Linked DNA regions of Oreochromis niloticus. The protein of the gene in region 2 binds, or shares a complex with, the protein of the main gene of each other region. Links are inferred from orthologs where the notes say so. Each region holds a gene or a part of one and is shown on either strand. Other genes may lie near its edges. The genes, in order: naa30 and naa35.

Region 1 (10,347 bases), on a different chromosome or scaffold from region 2:
AAAAAAAACAAGCCACTTGCTTTCTGAAAAACACCAGGCGGTACAAACACACAAACTATAGCTTTTTCCGTCCCCCTGCCCAACATATAAGGGTAAAAAAAGAGAAAACAAAACAAAAATAAACTCCACAAATATCTTCCCAGTCTGTGTTTACCGCTCCACTTCCTTGTTTCATGTGGTGATGATTTTTTTTTTAAAGTTTTTTTCCTTGTGTTTTTTAAGTCTGCTTTGTCCCGGGTTCTGCAGGATTTTGGTGTGGTGCCTTGTCCTTTTTGTTTTGTTATTTTCTTGTAGGGGGTGGGGGAGTCTGGATGCACATCCTCACCTGAGCTGCCTCACACCTGGTTGAAGAGGCGCCCCCGAGCTTCCAAGGTCACAATGTCCCCCAGTCAATGAGGTCACCCTCACTCGCCCCGCCCTCGTCACAGAAGGCAGCGGGAGACCCCCCGTCGTGTAACACCTGATGGGATTTCAGTCCATTTCTGCCTAAACGCTTGTTCAGAGGTCAAGGATAAAAGGAGGGTGTGTCTGCTTGTTTTATGCATACTTATGTGCATACTCCTTGGACACAGGAATATGTGTAAGTGTGTGTGTGTAGGTGTCTGTATGTGTGACTATAAGAGTGAAATGACCAGGGCAGAGCTGAGGCCGTCAAGCTGATAAGTGTTCGAGGTGAACAGCACCTGCTGTCCCGTCCTCCTCCCGTCCCTTCTGTTTTCCGCTAGCGGAGCCACAGTTTGAGCCGCAGCGCGTCCACTCCATTCAGGTAGTATCTGAAGAGCCGCTTGTCTCTGACGAAACCCAAGTTTTCGTAGAGCTTCAGGGCTGATTTGTTGGTGATCTCAGTCTCCAATACAACCTGGGAACACACAAATGAGTGCGTGAGTGAGCAGACTGAATTTTGGAGCGTGTATTTGCTATTTGGTCGTTCCTGATTGTTTGGACTGGAACTCTTTACCTGAAGAATTAAAAAAAAGTTAACAATACTGAAAATGAACTCGTTTGCCGTCATGGGATCAACATAATATTTCCCCTCTTTGTCAGCATACACTGCCTTTACTTGGACCCATTTTTTCAGCCATTCGAGACTAATTTGCGTTAAACAAACCTCACTCCCTTGCTCCTAACCTGCTAGCTCCAGGCCTTTTCTAGACAGGAGGGCTGATCAGTCACCGCTGTGGTGGTCCTCAATATAAGCCACTCTAGCCAGAACAGATGAAAAGCTGGTACATCTGCTACTAATTTGAGCAACAGCCCAGTGCAAGACAGTGGAGGTCCAGCAAATCCACAGGATAAGACTCCTATAAACATTGCAAAGAGCGTATTTCTCCCATATTGGCTTCTCTTTATAGGACCCCTGTTAAATCCAGAATTTAATTTAAAATACATCTCCTCACAAACAAGGTCTTGAAAATCAGCCCCCATCTTATCTTAAAGACTTCGCTCTCCGACTCCAGGCTTACTTGTGGTTCCTAGGATATTTAAGAGTAGAATGGGAGGCAGAGCCTTCAACTCTCAGCCCCTCTTCTGTGAAAACAGCTCCCAATTTGGATTCAGGAGACAGTCTCTACTTTTAAGTTTAAGATTTCCTTCTTGATAAAGCATATAGTTAGGGTTTCTTCCCGTTAAAGGGGAGTTTTTCCTTCCCATTGTCACCAAGTGCTTGCTCATAAGAGGCTGTTGGGGCATTTTCTGTATTATCGCGGGGTCTCTGAGGTGACTCTTGCTGTGATTTAACGTTATACAAATGAAATGAAATTAACAGTTGAAATATTTTCAGGGGACAGCAAACACTTTAGACATCGATAGGCACTTGTACAGTATATAGTGACAGCGTTTCCTCACCTTAGAAACCTTCAACTGCAACTGTGACAAATAAATACTCAAACTCTAAACCTACCTTACTTGTGTGTCATATCTTGGTAGCTAACAAGCTGTAAGTGCAATATTTAAGTTGCTATTGCAAGTCACTGCTTTTATAAGAGAAGATATTTGGATAGAAAGCACGAGCACAGGACACTGAAGACCCACCCACACATTTGCTTGCAGTTACTTGTTCTTTTTCTTTTTTAAAATAAGTAAAAACATATCCTATAAAAACATGTACCGTTTGTGTGTACACATTCAAAGCACTGGATATTGCTGGGTTGTATCAGAGTGTCAGCTCTTTGGTCTCAACCAGCAAAGAGACTGAAGAAATCGTAACGCTGTATCACATGTTTCATCTTCTAGAAGAATTCAAAGTCTGCAAAGGAAGCAGCATGAATGTTTGGCTTTTCAGGGAGAGGCAGAGCATATGAAATAGTTTATGGTAGAAGATCAAGGTTACCAGCTAGTTTAGATAAGTGAAGGACAGCCCAGGAAAACTGGACCTTGAAATAAAAACGGCTTTAAACAGCTATAAATGTTCTCTCTTTCAGTTTGTGTTCCTTTCAGAAATCTACAACAAAGAAGGGAATGCCAACAGTGTAACATGTGTTTATACTATTGATTTTATGTAGGATGCATATTTTCACAGTACGACTGAATACGCTGGCACTCTGGCTTGAATAACGGCTCTTATGTAATGTGTGCAAATGTGTTAAAGTTTGGTTCATAAACAATGCCACTGGGTCTAGCTCGCTTACCTCGTCGCAGTCGCCCTCCACCATGGCATAGATGGCCTTTTTCACCAGATTAGTACCTGAAACAAAAGAGTGGACTCTAAGTAAGAGGCTAAACCCATTTATGGCCTCCATCTCCAATATATTAAAGTATAACATTACTCATCACTCTGAGTGCAGAGTCTATCTAAATGGTGCATTTGCATAAAGAGATTTGGTTGCCCGGGACAGCAGAGAAGACGGTGAAGGGAGAGACTGAATATTCTGAAGAGGAGCGCCGAGATCTCACCTATGCTTTTCCTTCTGTGTTTCGAATCCACGGCCAGCATGGCAATGTAACCTCGACGAAACATCTTCTTATGCATGTCAAGCTTACATACAATGGCTCCGACACACTCCTGCTCCACCATGGCCTGAAATGCACACACACAACAAAAAATACACGCTCAGTGGTTACGAGTGTCCACTGGGGTGGCCGCTGACAGCCTAGCAACCGTTCCTCTGAAGTTCCTGTCATCCTGCCAGTTCAGCTGGCTCCACAAGCTGACCTCTGACCTTTTTATCTTTTTTTTTTTTTTTAAATAGCACTTCCTCTTCTGTCACATGTGGTGATCCAGCCAAAACTGGAAATGGGATGTTTTGGACCTTGATGGCCACAGAATGAAAAGAAGGCAGGCCAGTGTTTTCAAAGCAGAAAATGCTACCATGACACAGCACATGCAGAAGGAAACCTAAGGCACATTACTCTCTGCTAATACTGACGATTAGATTTTATAATTGCTTTACGTTACAAATCTGTACATATATGAGTGGGCTGGCACATTTCTTGATTCATTAATAACCTAAAAAACTGAATCAATGTTGGATCTGTAACAGTAGATGACAGGTTGTTTACTGCCTGCCAGCAGTAAAATAGAAACTAAACTTATGAGCTGAAATGTTATTGACATGTGTGTGCTTTAGCTTCAGTACACGTCAGCTCTGACAGCCTTGGACGTACAGTGACATGTGGTGAAAAATAAAGCTGTCACACCCAACTCCTATAATACTCCTGCAACTCAGAGTAACCAGTCCGAAGTCAGACTTCATAACTGTGAGCGGTGCGTTCAATCTACTACTTACCAGAAAGCAGAGCTGCGGCCAGTTGTGGATGAAGTACCTGTAAGTGTAAATTGAATAAGGCTCAGATAAGTCCTTGGTGATCAGTCTCATGATCCACGGCATCTGAAGTTCGGACTCATAGCGGACATAGCGGATGCCGTGGTTCTCCCCGGGGGAGCCGCTCAAGTCGAGCCGGGCGAGCTCCTCGGCCGGCGGCTGCTGCAGGTCAGCCTGGCTCTCCTCACCGCCGGGCCCAGCAGCGTCCGGCTGCTCGTCACTCGAAGGTCTAGAGGGCGGCGTGTGGTCCAACTCTTTCCCCGCTTCGCAGGCCGCCTCAGCTGTAGTGAAACCCGGCATCCCGTTCACGCTATTGTTACCATGAGGAGAGTGACTGCCGTTTTTGGAACAGGGGCTGTGGCCTTCGTGTTGGCAGTGCTCACTATTGTTCCTAGCGGCAGGAGCCTCCTCGTTGCTGCCAATACTGTTGTCACAGTTGTCTACGGACGATCTGGGATTGTCAGGCCGGCTTCCTACGTGCTGGTGGCTGTCAGGGTCCTCTGAGGGGCTTGCCAAGCCGTTCAACTGCTGCTGCTCTCGGGCTTGCATTTTAAGGTGAAGCGCCGACGGGCTAGCTCGCGCTAGCATGTTTTTCTGCTTCTTCTTGACCGACCTTTTGACTTCGTTTACCGACTGAGACTTCGTCCCTGTACCGGCGGGCACACACTGCTCCCCGTGGCACGCCGGCTCTCCGTCTTCCACCGCCGGCTCCGCGCTCCCAGCCACGGGGAAAGGAGGAATTTCAGCCGGGGATGCAGGCAGTACGCTACTAGGCCCAGGCGGCACTGTGGCCATCCCACTGCATTAAGGTGGTGATTGACACTTGGAAAACGTTGAACACAATTTCATCCACAAGGCGAAGGCATATACAACCAATATACGAGCTAGTTCATCGAATATTGCTTAAATCCAGGGTTTTCTGGGGCGATAACGTTTCCGCTGGCGATGGTTGTCGCTGCTTTCTCCTCGATTTCCCTGCTGCCGCAAAGTGCCGTCGCAGCAAACGCCATTGCAACGGCATTCATACACGTTTTACGACAGTAGTGTAACGCATGAGTGTTGCACGGTTTTTCCCACTTCTGTTACCCCCTGCCCCCCGAGGCTGTTTTTTGGTCATCCTTGCACCTTGCGAAACTTTTTATATTGTTTGTCAAATTTATCTAACCAGTCAATACTGACATTTACCTCCTTCTGTTCGCCTTTATGTTCTGTATAGTTTAAATAATATATATGTTTGTGTCGTACCCTGCATTACCACACTGTACTCACAACATTCTGGTAATGCAACACTGGAGAAGTCAAAGGTGACTGAAGAAGTCCTTGTACTGCCCTGTTAAACCCAAGAACATATTCTTCCTTACCAGCAGAGGGCGCCAAACCGAAGCTTTAGCATATGGAATAGTTTTGTAAGAGCAACAACAACACTGCGTTTTCTCCACAAGATGCCGCCATTCGACCAGTTTGTCGCTTCATCCTGCAAAGTAGGTGCAAGTTGGTGCGTGTATGTCCAGTAGTATCCAATCATGGTCTACTCTCCTTTCCAGAAGCATACTGTAGGCTGCTGTTAATTCATCATTCCCAGGATGCTGCGAAGCAAGAAAACCACAACACTGCAGTTGTTCATATTACACATAACATGATAATAATACATAATAATAATTACATTTGTTTTTTGTTTATATTTACATTTAACCATTTCCTTTAGTCTGCTAAGAACCACATTCATATTCGTCTTTCACTTTTGTTACATTTATTTCCTTTTAAGGTTTCATTTTTCCCTAACCTTTATTAGACACAAAAGTACAGAGAGCCGGCAGAGAAGCATGGAGAGCGTGGAGGGAATGACATGCATGAAATGGTCTGGGGCAAGCCTCAGTAGCAGCCTTTGGCATACGGGTCACCTGCTCAACTACAAAACCTATATAGATTTGTCTTTGTAATCAAAATAGTCTAGGCTCACACTAGAGGAATAATCTCCAGATAAAATTTGCCAGGTGCACAAGTCTAAGTCATGAGTTTGTAGTATTGGAACAGAGTTTGTGATATCGTGTGCCAAGAAATCCCCCCAGAAAAAACAACCAAAAACCAAAATTTTACAGGAGGCAGCAGCCTGCCTGTGGAGAGCGAGAGGAGAGAGATTGTGTGCCAGCATAGGAAGGAGAAGACAACAACGCAGAAGACTTCACAGGGGTCCTTCCCCTGTTACACTGTGAGGGTGAACACAAAGTGTGAGGTCACTGAAACTCAAATGTAGCGACAGGAAGTCAAGTGATTCTGAAAAATGTTGTTACTGTAGTATTCTGTTGCACACAATAGGCCATGTTTTATTACCGCAGTACCTGTTTCTGAGTATTGATGCTCCCCATACCCTGTTAACTGTGTTGCACATCTTTGTGTGACCACATGCTTTTCCCCTCACAAAACATACAAATTTAGGTGATCTTGAAATCAGCAAGACATTACAGAGTATTAACTTTGATATATTTAAAACAGAAGTACAGTGCTCTAAAAAAGTCCTAACTCATAGGACAAGAACTTCAGGAAATGAGAAGCTGAATTATGCATTTCTATTCTCCACACACATTCTGACCAAATATTTATATCTTTTGACTCCCCTTGTTTGTAATGTCGTTTTTGGTGGTGATGACTTATTTATTTGAATCAAAGGTTTTGGGTGAGTTCACTCTAAGAGCTGTAAAAACTGTACTGCTTAGCTCTTGTATCATAGCTCTTAGCTCTTCAGCATCATATTTGTCTTGCCTGCCAGCACCAAAGTTTGCTTTCTTCTCCTTAAAGTCCTGCTTTTTCTGTAATAGACGGTCAACATTTTGGATGTTTCTTCTTGCTCTACGTCTCTTCCTTACCTCAGGGTAGACCTCGACAGATATTCCAGCTTTTTCTCAGTTTTTTCTGGCAGATTTCTTGCAACATTTATGCTCCTCTTAAGTGGGGGGAATTTTTCAAATGAACTCAAATCTGCAGCAAAAACACTGTGACCTGCTGTACCTTTCCAAAAATCCTTTAATTCACGCATCAAAATTCAGCTTCTGTGTTGATGACTAAATAGTTTCCACAAGAGACATATAGGTGTCTTTCCTCTGCATCCTTACTCCTGTCCCTCTCAACTTCCATAAATATGTTTTCCAAAATTAAAATGATTGGCTCGCACCTGTGGCCACAGCACACAATTTAAACTATACTGCACATGAAAGTTCTTTATTTTGTTCACAAAGACGTGCCCCACTAATATTTGCTCAAACTGTGGACAGTTTTACCAAAACGAGGCAAGGATTTGAAAACCGCCATTCAAACTGGCAGTATCGCTCTGTAGCGCCCTCCAGCTGTAGCTCCAGGTACTCTGAAGTGGATCGCTTTCTCACAAAGACACAGTTGAGTCCAGTCGGTCTACCACAACCAGACCGTGACACAAAAGGTCTAAGTGGGAGCGCCAGATGCTAGAGAGCCTGACTTTGCTCTTTCATGCTAACACAGATTGATCTTTCAGTCGTTGTCTGTCCTACACAGCTACCATGAACATACGTGAGTTTTGAAAGGGAGTCATATTTTATGTATAAATATACATTACAGAGAAAGAGGCCGAGATAGGAGGGAGAGAGAGAGAGACGTCTCTTTTAAAGCTAAGCCTTGGGGCTGAGAACTCTCTGAAGAGCTGGAATCAGACATGCACAATCAGTTCCCCTCTTCAAATCTCCTTTGCAGGCCTATCTACTTGAACAGGCTTCTCTTAATTACTTTCTCTATCACTTAGGCGAGCCGTGGCTGGGACGAGGAGCAGCAGCGTCTCTGCCAGAGACATTTGGCTGGTTTGAACCCATATTTTTATAGGCCTATCTTTTTTCTCACAAGCCTGTCCCACACCTTCTCCCCGCACCACCACCACAACCGCCACCGCCACCGCCACCTTTCTTCCCTCCTTGCCTTGCTTTCATTGCACGTTGCTCTTGTCTTTCCGTGGCTCTCCCCTATTCCAAATATCTCCAGGGTGTCAGTTGCGTCATGTGACTGGTGCGCTTGTGATTACAGCAGTTGGCAGACGTGCTAATCTATGAGGAAGAACCCAAAATATCTGGAGAAAAAAAATGACAGCATGTAAAAGAAGCATAAGGTCAGTATGGAGATCAGCGGAGAGCGAGAACACGGTAAAGACAACTCAGGGTTGACACTGAAACCCGAATTCCCTCCTCTTTCAAATCTCTCCGCCTGTCTTCCTGTCTGTCTGAACCGCTCTCAGGGGCTTGAGGCCAAACTTTGGACCCCCTCCTCCTCCCTTCCTCTCTCATGCTCCTGCCTGTCACATTGGCTTGCTCTCCTCACTCCGCTCACTTCCCTGTGTCCTCCTTCTTCTTCTTCTTCTATTTTTTTTCTTCTCTTTTTGTCTGGCGTCTGGTCCACTAGAGCTGTATTTAATTAGTTTCTGTTGGGTTAATTAGGGGCTAAAGTTAGGGGGTCGGACCAGAACAAAAGCGGGTCAGGCTGGACGGATGCAGGTGCTCAGGAGTGGTTGCCAGATTCCACCGTTCAGATTAAGATGGCCTTGAATTGTCTGGAGTATTGGAGAGCAGGCGAGCCACTAGTAAATCGCAAGGAGGGGAGGTTTTCCACCTCACACGGGATGGCAGGCTCCATATGTACCCACGGCAGCATCACCATTCTTGTTTATTTGAATTTCAGCATCATTTCTACGCGTGTGCCACACCTGGATTCATCGCAGAGTTGGTCCAATGTATGGCGCGTGCAAGTGATGTCCTCGCCAGTCTGTTGTATGTTCTCATTCATATCACTGCCCGCCACCCTGTGCCCCCACCCCCACCCCTTTTTTTCCCAGCAGTGCCAGCTATACCCTGCTCCTTTGGCTTGCGTGGAATTAGAAGAAAAATATGTGAGGAGGACATCAAATGACCAAACCAAGCAAGTGAAGCATACATAAAATGGGCAGCGGCAGCCTTTGAAGTGTACATCAGTAGCCCGAGTGAAGTGATCACATAAATTAAACGCATAAAGACAGCAGTGTAGATGTGAGTATAGACCGCTGCGCTTTGATCTCACCTGTTTACTAACTGTTCTTTTTGGCACATTGTTTGAAACTCACACATGCTGCATGCAACTCACACATTGCAAAAGTAAAAGAAAGACACCATTCGACCTTTTTGAAAGGGAAGGAGAGGAAGAGGGAGAGGAGAGAGGAGAAACGAGAGGAGAGGGATCTCTGGCATGGCTGGAGCCCCTCAGTGTGTGAGGGTCCTGGGGCCCTTTAGACAGGCGCCAGCCCAGCAGGGAACCAGAGACAATCACGCAGCACCAGATTCAATGCACAGAGATTGAGGGATGGGAGAGAGATGAGGAGTCACAGAGGGGTGGATTGAAGGGGGAGCGGGACAAAGAGGACAGCTGAGAAAGGTGGAGGACACGACAAGGAGACGAGTGGGAAGGGTCCAGGTAGAAATCGAAGGAGCGCAGAGCGAATGAGCTAAAAAGAGTTGGATGGAGAGGGGGAGAATGACAGCGCAGATCAAGAGGAGAAGTAAAAGGAAGAAAGAGCAAGCCTGAGAGAGATAGCATATATTCCCTCTGTAACAGTCTTTATCACCAGCCCAGATCGTGGCGTATGAACAGTGATCCAAGTCAACCATCTGCTGAGGCTAGATAAGCCTGGGAGAGCTGGGTATTGAGCTGTCACTCAGGGAGGAGTGCAGAAAAGGAAAGAAAGGAGGGGAGAGAGAGAAACAGAAGAGAAATAAAGACGGGACAGGAGAGAGATGGAGAAGAAGGAGGGAGGGAGGGAAGGAGGGAGGGAGGTGTCTGCGCAAGGTAGGAAAAATGAAAGGAGAAGATTTGTGCGGAGTGGAGAGCACCCGTCTTGTTAGAGAAAGACTTAACGTCAACTAGATGTCCGGCCCTGTCCCGTCTGATCTCGAATAATCCTTCGGTTAACAAGAGGAACAATAAAAATGTTTTCTTTCTCGTCAGCCTACACGTCCCACACGCACACGTATATCACACTGTGAGACGCATCGACTCACATCACTCCTCATCACGCTAATGTTGACAGGATGTTTGTTTGTTTTCTGTCACTGGCAGCATGTGCATATTCACATTTGTCACGTTGTAAAGTTCTAATCACGAAACAGGGCTTCTTGCCATTTCAAACAAATCTGCAATTTGCCTATATTAATGTTCAAAAATGTGTGGGGGGAGCTGTGTCCCCGTGAAGATCACCTCCATTGGTCGGGAAGATCCCAACACTGGTTTAGGGCTTGATGAAGCCCTAAAAAATAAATTCTGTCCTCATTTACTCGATTTTTGTTTGATTTTCCTTCAAGTGAATCAATCCCAGTTTTATATGCATGGATCTGTGCATTGATGGTGCGATACCGTGGTAGATATAGGGGGGTGAATTAAGGCCGGGAGGGGCGTCAGGCCCGGGAGTGGGGGTTAGGAGGGGATTAGCTGAGGCCGGTTGGATCATTTTACAGCCGGAGGAACCCCCCTTCACCCTCTGCAGTCTCCTGGACAATAAGGATTAAACTCCTCTTGTTCCTCAACTCTGGAAAACGGCAGGGCGACA
Region 2 (10,520 bases):
ACTCAACGTCTGCTCCTGTGCACTCGAATGGTATCATTTAGGTTGTTAAGAGTTTCATTTTTATGCTTTAGGTTGGAGATTGACATTGAGCCTTAATCAGTTATGAGTGGAAGTCTTCATACCTGTCACCCGCAGATCTGTGACATTATTAGCCATCTTAAAGCCATAGGTCATGGCCTGGAAATCCTCCTGCATAAAGACATATAAGATAAAACCATTCAGACATATGGCAGTTTTAGAAATGGGCTACTACGAGAACAACTTTTCAAACAAATAGGTTTAAACAAAACACATTTGCAATCAAACTAAAGCTCTTTGGGTCTGGAAATCTTCACTGAGCTCCATCTTTCAGATATCTCAATTTTTACACACAACTTACTCACAGCTTTTTCTTTCCCACCTGGGTTTTTTTGTGTTGGTCCATGATTTTAACCTGCTACCATTTCTGACTTTATGTCCACATTGAAACGTGCAGTACCACAGTACCCAAACATTTACTGACTGACAGCAGAAAACTGCTCACCTCTTCAAACACAGCAGCCTTGTTGACCTTTTCCCGGGAAATGTCACACACCTTCAACAAGCCCAGGGCAAAAGCTTTGAGGGCTGGCTCCTCAATCAAGTCAGGGTTGTGAACATAGAGGCAGGTAAACACAGTCTGGGCCAGGGAGTGTCCCTCCAACCATGTTATCTACATATACACACATATTAGAAAACACAAACATGCATACATAAATATGTCTTGATCAGTGAGTCCGCAGTTTGAGTCATCGCTGGCCCGATCTGTATCAGTAATCTCTTTGCCAACACTTATTGTGTTTCTCAAATTTTACAATCTACTAAAGACAAAAATGCCATAAAAACGTTAAAACGGCTACAAATACAGATTATAGATTAAGCTAATACTACTGCAGTAAACATTTTCCAATCCAGTCACATTTCAGAAAATCTGCAGTACAAAGGAATTACAGGGGGCAGCACATTACTTGAACATAACTTTCAAAATTTTGCCTTATAATAACCAAAAGCGAACTCACCAAACAGCAGAAACAGGTGTCGATGATCCCGATGAGTTCGGGAAGACTGAGGTCTTTGACCTTGATGGCACCCTCCTGGAACAAAGAAAGAGGAAAATAAGGTGGTTAAATGTGTGTTATATACACAAACAAATTAAACTAAGATCTGAAAAATTAAATCTAGGATTACATTACATCTCTGTCTGTATACTGTTTTTATTACATGAAAAAGAGATCAGTACCTTAATAGCTTGCTCAAAATTGAGCACTTTCCTGTTGACCTGGTTTCCGATCATTCCCGCATCCATCTTAGGATCCATCATCTCTATAGCTGACATGGCTTCAAACAAGCCAAACCTGCAGCAGAAGTAAAACATTTTTGACCTCTGTAACATTTTTTCTGTGTTCACTACATGAAAACATAAAAACACTGACAATATTTATGGATCGATCCAAAAATGAATGCAAATATCAACCCAATTAAATTCAAAGTCACTTGTGGCAAAAACATTAGAAGCTTTCATTATAATTACTCTGGACAGTCAATGCTTTGAACTATGACTTTGGGACATGAAAACTTTTTTAAATTGAGGATCTGTCCAGCAGTAAGATGAAAAGGTCGTTTCTAATTTGAGGGACTCTTGAAAATGTGAATCCACAAAAAAGCACTTTGGTGTACTCACAGCTTGTCATGAAGCAACTCTCCAAGGTTCAAATCTGCATGAATAAAGGATGACAACAAGGAAGGAGAAACACGTCAGTCCCTTTTTTTAACTGCACACAGATGACACACACACACACACACACACACACACACACACACACACACACACACACACACACACACACACACACACACACACAGAGTCCTTACCTTTGCAGGCGCTTTTGAATTCATGTGTAATATCAACCCAGTTGGCGTTGTTCTTCATCTTTTCTGGGATACCCAGCCCCCAGCCAGTGTCATCATCATCAACTGCTGATTTCATCACCATGGTGACAGCTTAAGACACATAGATAAACATTACATTAAATTAACCATAGCATGCCAATGTAAAGCATTTTGCTAAGTCATCCATCCAATCGCCTAGCCAACTTAAAAGTTCAGGGAGGCAGTGAGGGGGCCAGCAGCCTCTGTGTCTCTGTGTTAGCATCACAGCGCTAACACCGAGATCCAAACAACCATAAACTCTACTTGCACAACTACAATTAATGCCAGTTTAGAATCAGCAACTAACATACGGTTTGTGGGAGGACACCAAGGCACCCAGAGGAACCCCACAAAGACACATGGCGGATATGAAAAAAAAAACCTCACATAAAGCTTTAAATCTGCAATATCTCCACATTTTTTCCTTCCTTTACTGAAAAGAAAGATTTTTTGTCCTATATAAAAACATTTTTTTTATTTATTTATTATTTTAATAACAGATATAGCCATGCTTGTACCTGATGAATTCTAGCTCAAAGTTAGTACTAGGTCCTTGTTATAATTAGCTCAGCTAATGGCATAAGAGTTACACTTGATTAAGAGGTTTCTTATCTTATTAGGTTTTTTGTTTACTAGAAAAAAGAAAGCTTTCAGTCTTTCCTTGCTGAAGTGAAATCCTATTTTCCTCAGGTCATAGGCTAACAAATTCTAATTCTTGAGACAATGTAGGTTCAATATCCTTAGGATTAGTGGGGTTAGGTTAACTGGTGTTTGGTGTTTAGTGTGATTGTGAGTGTGAATGGCTGTCCGTCTCTCTGTGTTAACCCTGCGACAGACTGGTGAGCTGTCCAGGGTGTACTCTGCCTCTTACCCTATGGGTAGCTGGGATAGCTTCCAGCCCCCCACAACCATGATAAGGAGGAGAAGCAAATGGATCAATGGATCTTTAGGATGTGTTTCCACTAACTACATGAGCAGAATCATCCACATAAAGGATTCAGATTCATACACAGCCTGAGGCATGTCATTAATATAGATGGAAAAAAGTAATGAACCTAAAAGAGATCCTGTCATACCATAAATAACATTTCCAAGGGGTGACCTTTAAGAATCATTATTTAATTCTACATAATATTTTCTTTCCAATAAAAATCTTGAACCACCACAGATATTTACATACATTCCCTGTGTGGATCCAAAGTAAATTAAAACTTGTTTTAAAGTCATTAAATATGTACACTGTACAATCATTCCACAGTGGAAAAGGAAAAGTCATCAAAAGCCCAAAATCACCATGACATTCATGCCCATAACAAGTGTATGTAAACTTCTGACCAAAACTATATTGGCTCTATATCTGCTTGTAGAGTAGAATAATCTACAGTATCAAAAGACTTCTGAAGGTAGTGTATATTATACTGTATATTAAATATAATTTTATTACTGAGCTATGAAAGGTTAGTATGCGTAAAGTACTCTGGCCTAATAATAAAAAACATAAACATTTAAAACTTCAGCATGCAGTTTAACAGTTGTAACACAGCTCAAAGTTAACGTACAGTAAGAAAGTGAATGTGATCCAATGTAATAATATAATTCACTGATCAGTCAGTCAATCTTCTGAGCATTAAAACCGCAATCCATTATTGTTTTTAAACTGGAAATGTGTCAATTTCTGTATGTTCTTAAAAGCTTTTACGCATTTTTGTTTACATTAGCCTCGACTCATTGAAGTTTGACGAGGCTGACCTAAGCTAACAACAGAGGATTAACATGCGAGCTGACTTGAGAAGCTTGTTATAGCCTAAAATGGTGTAAACTGCACTCCAGAGTGCCCTGGAAAGTCTCAGCCGTCTACACTAAGAAACTGATGTGGGTCAGGGAGAGTTGAAACCATTTTTAAATGACTGATTCATTCACATGTAACATATATAACGTTTAGAGTACGTATAAGAGGCAACACGGGTAATCATTTGTATAGATGTTTCATAAAAGCCTATCAGAAATCGATATTACCTGATCAAATGCCCGTAAAATGATCAATGGGATAAGTAGTAACTGTTTGTCTCCTAACATATACCTTTTTGAAACTAATAACATGGATGTCAAAAAGTCACCTAAGTTTACACAGTTCTCAAAAGCGTACTAAAACTCTTAGGCAAGATACATAATTTTAAAAGACACGAGATGGTGTGAGTTAGCTATCACCAATCGTCACATTAGCTAGCTTTACGGTGTGCAAACAAGCTAATGTTGCCGACAGTGGGTGTTCTCTGTGAACAAAAGCTGCTTATGGATGTTTTAACAGATTAATCCATTCCACTCAGGCATATAAAACACGAAGACTGTTACTTAGAAATTATACTTTCGCTGTAAATCAGCACGTACCTTACTATATTGTATTAACCATGTAGCTAATCAAAGCTCCCCCCGAAGACTGTAAAGATTGGCGCACATGAATGACGTCATCAGCAGCAGCGATAGGAAATGTAGTCCTGTGAACGCCAAGCCTAACGGAACGCTTATGACTTAAAATCAGACCAGTGATGATATAAAACGATTTTTGAGAAGTTTTAAGGATTTAGTGAGCTAATTTATGATGTTCACATCGTAGCATTAAATGCCGCTTACACCACGCGCAAAGACGTAACCACTGTCGCGGTGCTCACTAACTGCCCCCTCTAGTTGTGTCTGTTCCATCTCATCATCATCATCAGGGCGTTTCAGGCAACGCTCAGGAGCACAGTAGCTGTCGCCTCTTATCCCGCAACTAGTCCTCCACCCTAAACGGGACAACAGTTCCTTTTTCATACAGGTTTGTACATCATCTCTTTTGTGCTGCTATTCTAAAGAACCACTGCTTCAGCTAACATCTACTGTGTGCTGTTTTTGTTAGCATATTCTTCAGTTAGCTAGCCTGCTGGCGCAGACAGCGAGTCGTTAATGAGTGACTAGCCCAGCAGGTGCAGCGGCCACCAGCTTCAGCTAGGTTGTCTGACTTAGCATCTCGTAAACATGTACCGTACAGAGGCTTGCCTAGCTGTTTACCTTTTCACCAATAACCCGCTAACAGTGACAACCCCCGTGAGCTGGTGCAATGAGAGGAATGACCCTGGTTTCTTAAAGGATTTTGGATCGGGGATTGTGAAGTAGCTCTATAGGGTTATTTCGACTTGTTTACAACCGTCTTGTGTAAGCTGACCTCTATAACATGTCAGATTTCATAACTGCTTGAGCAAATTTTAAACGTGTATATGGTCTGACCTCCAGTTTCATCTTTACTCTTCTTTAGCCCGTTTGTAACAAAGGCGTGACCATAGATTGTGCTGTCACTCTTAGATTAGGCTCTATCCTTTTGGTAAAACGGGTGATGGGCCTGTAAGCTTTGCAAAATTCTCGTTAAGAAGTAAAGGTGTTTTTTTACTTTTTCACCTTCAATTCTAAAGTAATGAAGTATTTTAATGTGGACACATTATAACCTTATTACAAAACTCCCTTGTGTTTAAAAATAATGGAGTAAATGTCATTAGGCACCAGTGATGACCCCGCACTAACACATGTTTACGACCCATCTTATCTCAGCCCATAAATGCTTCTGTTTTGAAACTGCAGCAGACTAACTCGTCCAGTCTTCTTGGATTCACCTGCTCATCCGTTTCGGTTAATGGTACCGCACTTAGTTGACTTGTTTATTGTGCTTTCAAACCTTGTGCTCACATTACCTTGACTGCGACTGTTTTGTGTGGATATCTGAGATGAGTTGAACAGCTCCTTTTGTTTTGTGTGAAATCAGTTGATAGGTAATGTGTCCCCCAGGTGGTCCCAGCATGCACTGCTGGGCAGATACACAGAGGACAGGTTTTTAGTCTGCTGTGGAGCTGCTGCATATTTGCAGACTAATGGCTTCTCTGCTCATTGTGTCCCCTAAGTTGACAGCTTCTTGTCTGTGGGGTGACCTCACAAGGCATGCGTACACTGTAGCCAGGGACACTTAACTTTTCTGTGAAATGGTTTGGCATAGTAGCAAGCCTGGCTGCAACAGAGGGAGTCGAGTGGGGTAAAGGTTAACAAACATGATTGTTTCTAAAATTGTGTTGAATACCTCTTCCTCTTCATATCTAATCTACATGTTCTTTCACTTGCAGATGACTTGAAATGTTGATGTAGTAAAAATGAACAAGCCCAAAATGGCCACAGAGAAGGGGTGAGTTGATTTGCATTCAGAAAGCAAATAAAAATGTCATTACAGATGTGAACACAAACAGGCATGGGGGTTGTGATGTTTGTGCATGTGTTTCTGATTGAAGGCTGCTGTGTCACTGCCATCTGTTTGCACTCACACTCTCGCGCCCTCTCTCTCTGTCTCAGTGAGCCTTTAGTGTTATGATGCACTTCCACTTTTGTTCTGTTTTACCTTGTTAAGACCTTTTGCAGAAGGGTTTGACCCTGCTTTTCTTCTTGTGCAACAGAGCAGAGTCTGGTAGATAATTAGCGGATCTTGCTTGAAACAGCCATTCAATATGTCAAGACTGAAAATAACAGCTGTCCTTAACGCTGAGGCAATATACTTTGAAAAACCTTTGGTGTATTTTGGCTTTCCAAGATCTTTTTTTGTGTGTGTGTCTGTGTTCATCATAGTGATTAATGTAGTATGTTTATTTAGGCTTTCTATTTTTTGTTCTGTTTTTTCCTTTTTCTGTTAATACACTATTCTTCCCTCACTCCTGACATTTTTTGCTATTCTTTATTTAGCATACACTTTCTCTGTCTCTCTCTTTTCTTCTCTCTCTGTCTTTATAAGGACATATAAGACATTTTTGCTCCCCTGGGTAGAATCAGGGTCTTGATTCTCTGTCCAGTATTTGCCGTTGCTGTACCAACAACGGACCTCTAACCTCGAGTTTCCAGCTGAGTGCTACTGAGCTAGGATTATAAGAGGAGGACGGATCAGTGCTCCAGAAATGAAGTGAAACACAAAGAGACAGCTTTGTTGAAAAGCTCTAATAAATGAAGTTTAAAGTCATATAGTCATAGACTGCCAATTTGTAATCACCGGCACTGCTAAAAGTAACATGGAAAAGGCTGTTTTTATTGGATGCTTTCTAAAATTGGGCTAAGACACACTTGACTCAGTGTAAGTATATGATGTCACTGCACATATTAGATCATGCTTTACATTTGTTTTCCGTTGCCAACTGCACATTGTGATTAATAACATTAGCCTTTTCACATAATTGAGGGCACAGTTGATCATCTTGTGTGTGTGTTTTTTTTTTTTTTTTTTTTTTTTAAACATACAGCTGAATTATCCTGTTGGATGCAATGTTCTAAAAGTAAAAACTGATTTTATTTGTTACAAGGGTTCCTAGTAACTCCAGGATAGTGATGCTCCTGGGCCAACTGGAAAGGATGAATGGTGAGGCCATGGTCAGAGATGTTGAAACAGCAAGACAGGTCACTGCAAAGATCCTTCATCTCATACAGACACAGGGTAAGAATGTGTGCAAACATGCACAGTGATACATGTAATCTCCTGAACTCCGGTATAGTTTTGTTATCTTGAGCCAAGTGCAATCTCAGTGAGCAGTCCTGGCCTTGAATTGCATTGCTGGCAGTGGAAACGGCTGCAAAATATTCAGGCATTGTAATAAGTTATAAAACAGCAGTTCCTTGCAATTTGCAAAGTGATTCGTTTGGATTATGTAAGCAAGTATTCGACATTATCGATTAGAGGTTTTTGATCACCTCCATATTTTTGCTACAAATGTTCCCTTGGACTCGAGATAAGCTGCTTAGAATTAGGAGGTCAAAGGTTCCTGTGAAATCACTTTTTTTAAACTCTAAAAAAAAGTGCACTAATTATGACAAGAGTTTTACAAAATGTTTAATGCCATAGAAGCATGATGTGATGCCATTATATAGCTGAATGGGTCAAAGGTTTGCGTCACTGTTGTGTAATAATTTTTTGCAAAAACATTTTTCGGGCCATTAATCAAGGTCACAGCTGAGGAGTGGTCACATTTGGTCATATGCTTAACCATGACAGAAACTTTGGTTCTGTCCATACATCCATTTTCTGCTTCTTATTTGGCTCTGGGTCATGAGGGCACCGGTCTGAGCAGAGAAGCCCACACATCTTTCTCCACCTGTCCTCTCCAGTTCCTCCAGGTTCCTCCTCAAGTTGTTCCCAAGCCTGATAAGAGATGTAATTTCCCTCATTGTGTCTTGGGTCCTCCTGGTAGGACATGTGTAGGACGCATCCTGGTGAGATACCTGAACCACATCAACTACCTCCTTTCAAAGTGCTGGAGTAGCTGCTGTGCTCTGAGCCCATCCCTTTCCTCACCTTATCTCTATGGCTGAGCCCAGACATTCTACAGACGTTTATCATTGGTAGATCAGCTGTATTTACCACAACAGACCCATTCAACATCTACCCCACTGCTGATGCTGCACCAACCTGTTTGTTTCTCACTTGTGAAGATCAAGAGATATTTAAATTCCTCCAATTGTTGCAGAAACACCTCCCTGTAATCATCTGGAAGATCTTCAGTATATCTGTTGGACATGTATGAACGTGTACAGACAAGTACATGTCTGTAAACTGCATCTTTAGTTGTTGGAATAGTCACACAACCACAAAGTAGTATATTTAGTTCCAGGATCCAAGTCTTGCTAATAGGCAGTTGTTTGTGCAACTGTTTTAAAGCTCGTGTTTAAAATGAATGAGGATACAGCCCTAACCTTTATTTTAATGGTCATGTATGTATAGACTCACCAGTCATAACTGATAAAATCATTTCTTTCAATTCTCGAAAAAGTTTGGCCTCAAATATGAAGTTTAAACAGCATTTAAAATGTATTTATATTTATTTATAATGTGCATGCACCCACATTCATAAGATTAACAGCTTAATTGAAGGTGCTAAGTGTCTCTGGCTGATCCCACAAAATGAGCCCGATGCCACAGCACAATATGACTACAGTTAGCTGAGAAATCTTTATTACAATAACCATGGACTGGAATGATAATGAGTAGATATGCCTAATGTGTCAGAGGGTGTAGTTTTAGAGTTTGTACAGATGGAGGGTTTGCAGCAAAATTATTAAGTTATCAGCAGAAGCTGGGCACCTGTTGGAATTGTTTGGATTTAATCTTAAGACTTAATTGGTTTCTGTTGGTTCTTGCTGTAAATCAGTCAGTTTTTGAGCATTTAATTTCTATTAAATGTACATAATTTTTTAAGTTTGTACCATTCGAAGTCTTTCACTGGACCTATAATGACCAAGTGGAACTACCTTGACTACCTTGTTTTAAGACTTAAAGGCAAAGATCTATGTGAAAGCTTTAAAGAAACTCTTATTTGTATTTCAGTCAAATGCAGCAGAATCAGAGGTATTGTCCATTTATTAAGTACATTTCTTCCTCTCAAACCCATCTCTGTACATTTCACAAATGCCTTGATGCCTAGCTTCAGCTTGTGGAGAAAATTCCCAAATTCGTAGAAAACTTAAAGTGTGGTTGTTGTGTAAATTGAGATGTAGTAGTTCGTTGACAGTCAAGATGTGTCACCCAATCTCTGATTACTCCTTGAAAGGAAAACCGAGACGAAGATAACGGAAGAAGGTGGCACACCAGGTGTTGAACACACTGATACATGAGTGCGTCTCTGTTAGCAAGGAGCTAATTAAAAAAACAAAAAACAGACAGCATTGTTCTGCTGCTGTAACAATTAAAAATTAAAGGACTTGCTATATTAACAAACTCACAGAGGCTTTTGATCCTGTGTTTACAACATTTAGCATTTGAAACTCGTACTTCAAACCTTTCCAAAGATAAAGTTATAAACCTTTAAAAAAATCAATCTTCAAATAAATGCTCTCTTGCAAAAAATCAATTTTTACAAGATTTTTGTTTGTTTTTACTTATAATAACATAATAATAACAGTAGTAGTAGTAGTAGTAGTAGTAGTAGTAGTAGTAGTAGTAGTATTAATAATACTACTACTAATAATAATAATTATAATAAACTAATGTTGCCCTGTAGCACACAGTTTTAAGTTACTGGTTCTCAGTGCTTGTCAGTCCCCTCCTCCTTTGAGAAATTCTGCTGAATCATGATATGATATGATTCCCAACTACTTCTTCTCTCTTACTTTTCTTAAATTTCACCTTTCCACGTTCCATAACTTGTTGCTTCCTCCTCCTTCAAAGCAAAGTCCTAGCTAATCCATCATGAATGATGAGCACAGTGGAAAGGCTTGTCTGTGACTCTATCAATCATGCAGTATCAGCTGTTCCTCTCTCACCTGTTGCTTGGCTGTCCGTAACACCATGCCTGCAGTCTCAACTTGAAATGTGTATGAGTGTGACGTCGGTTTGAGGGAAGCGCCGAGGTCTGTGACCCCGCACGCAGTAACTATACACCCCAGGACGGACTTTGCTGTACTCTTGTCTCAATTTCAGGGTCTCAGGAGCTTAAGAGGCAGTCAAGAAATACCATGAGAAAGAACAAGGGAATTTCAGGTGCTGTAAGGGCAGACAAAATGTCATCTCTTGAAATAATTTTAAA

What was found.
Region 1: the proteins of naa35 (region 2) and naa30 are in contact, whole or in part, in a cryo-EM structure (PDB 7MX2), measured with the Homo sapiens proteins. The link is inferred for Oreochromis niloticus from reciprocal best matches to the Homo sapiens genes NAA35 and NAA30. Residues at the interface, in NP_001308810.1 of Homo sapiens: Leu45, Gly46, Leu48, Leu56, Ala59, Met60, Ala62, Glu64, Lys69, Glu121, Phe313, Pro314, Arg315, Ala444, Leu510, Glu511, Leu512, Glu517, Pro605, Lys606, Phe607, Glu608, Leu609, Asp610, Val614, Arg615, His618, Arg619; in NP_001011713.2 of Homo sapiens: Glu221, Pro238, Ser240, Tyr242, Thr243, Arg245, Tyr246, His249, Asn250, Lys304, Ile324, Glu334, Asn335, Leu336, Gly337, Val339, Arg340, Asp341, Lys342, Arg343, Phe345, Arg346, Tyr347, Tyr348, Leu349, Leu359, Trp360, Leu361, Arg362.

What each region holds. Positions count from the first base shown.
Region 1 is NC_031980.2:4,759,710-4,770,056, forward strand, and holds the start of naa30 (N-alpha-acetyltransferase 30), read right to left. Parts: upstream 4,962-10,347; 5' UTR 4,557-4,961; coding exon 3,726-4,556; intron 3,017-3,725; coding exon 2,893-3,016; intron 2,684-2,892; coding exon 2,628-2,683; intron 2,246-2,627; exon of another isoform or gene 2,108-2,245; intron 860-2,107; coding exon 722-859; 3' UTR 1-721. UniProt on the Homo sapiens protein: Catalytic subunit of the N-terminal acetyltransferase C (NatC) complex. Catalyzes acetylation of the N-terminal methionine residues of peptides beginning with Met-Leu-Ala and Met-Leu-Gly.
Region 2 is NC_031977.2:20,759,171-20,769,690, forward strand, and holds the start of naa35 (N-alpha-acetyltransferase 35, NatC auxiliary subunit), read right to left. Parts: upstream 4,472-10,520; 5' UTR 4,336-4,471; intron 2,020-4,335; 5' UTR 2,012-2,019; coding exon 1,891-2,011; intron 1,734-1,890; coding exon 1,700-1,733; intron 1,374-1,699; coding exon 1,259-1,373; intron 1,113-1,258; coding exon 1,038-1,112; intron 692-1,037; coding exon 524-691; intron 190-523; coding exon 123-189; intron 1-122. Other genes in the region: agtpbp1 (cytosolic carboxypeptidase 1), read left to right, coding at 6,120-6,151, 7,308-7,438. UniProt on the Homo sapiens protein: Auxillary component of the N-terminal acetyltransferase C (NatC) complex which catalyzes acetylation of N-terminal methionine residues. N-terminal acetylation protects proteins from ubiquitination and degradation by the N-end rule pathway.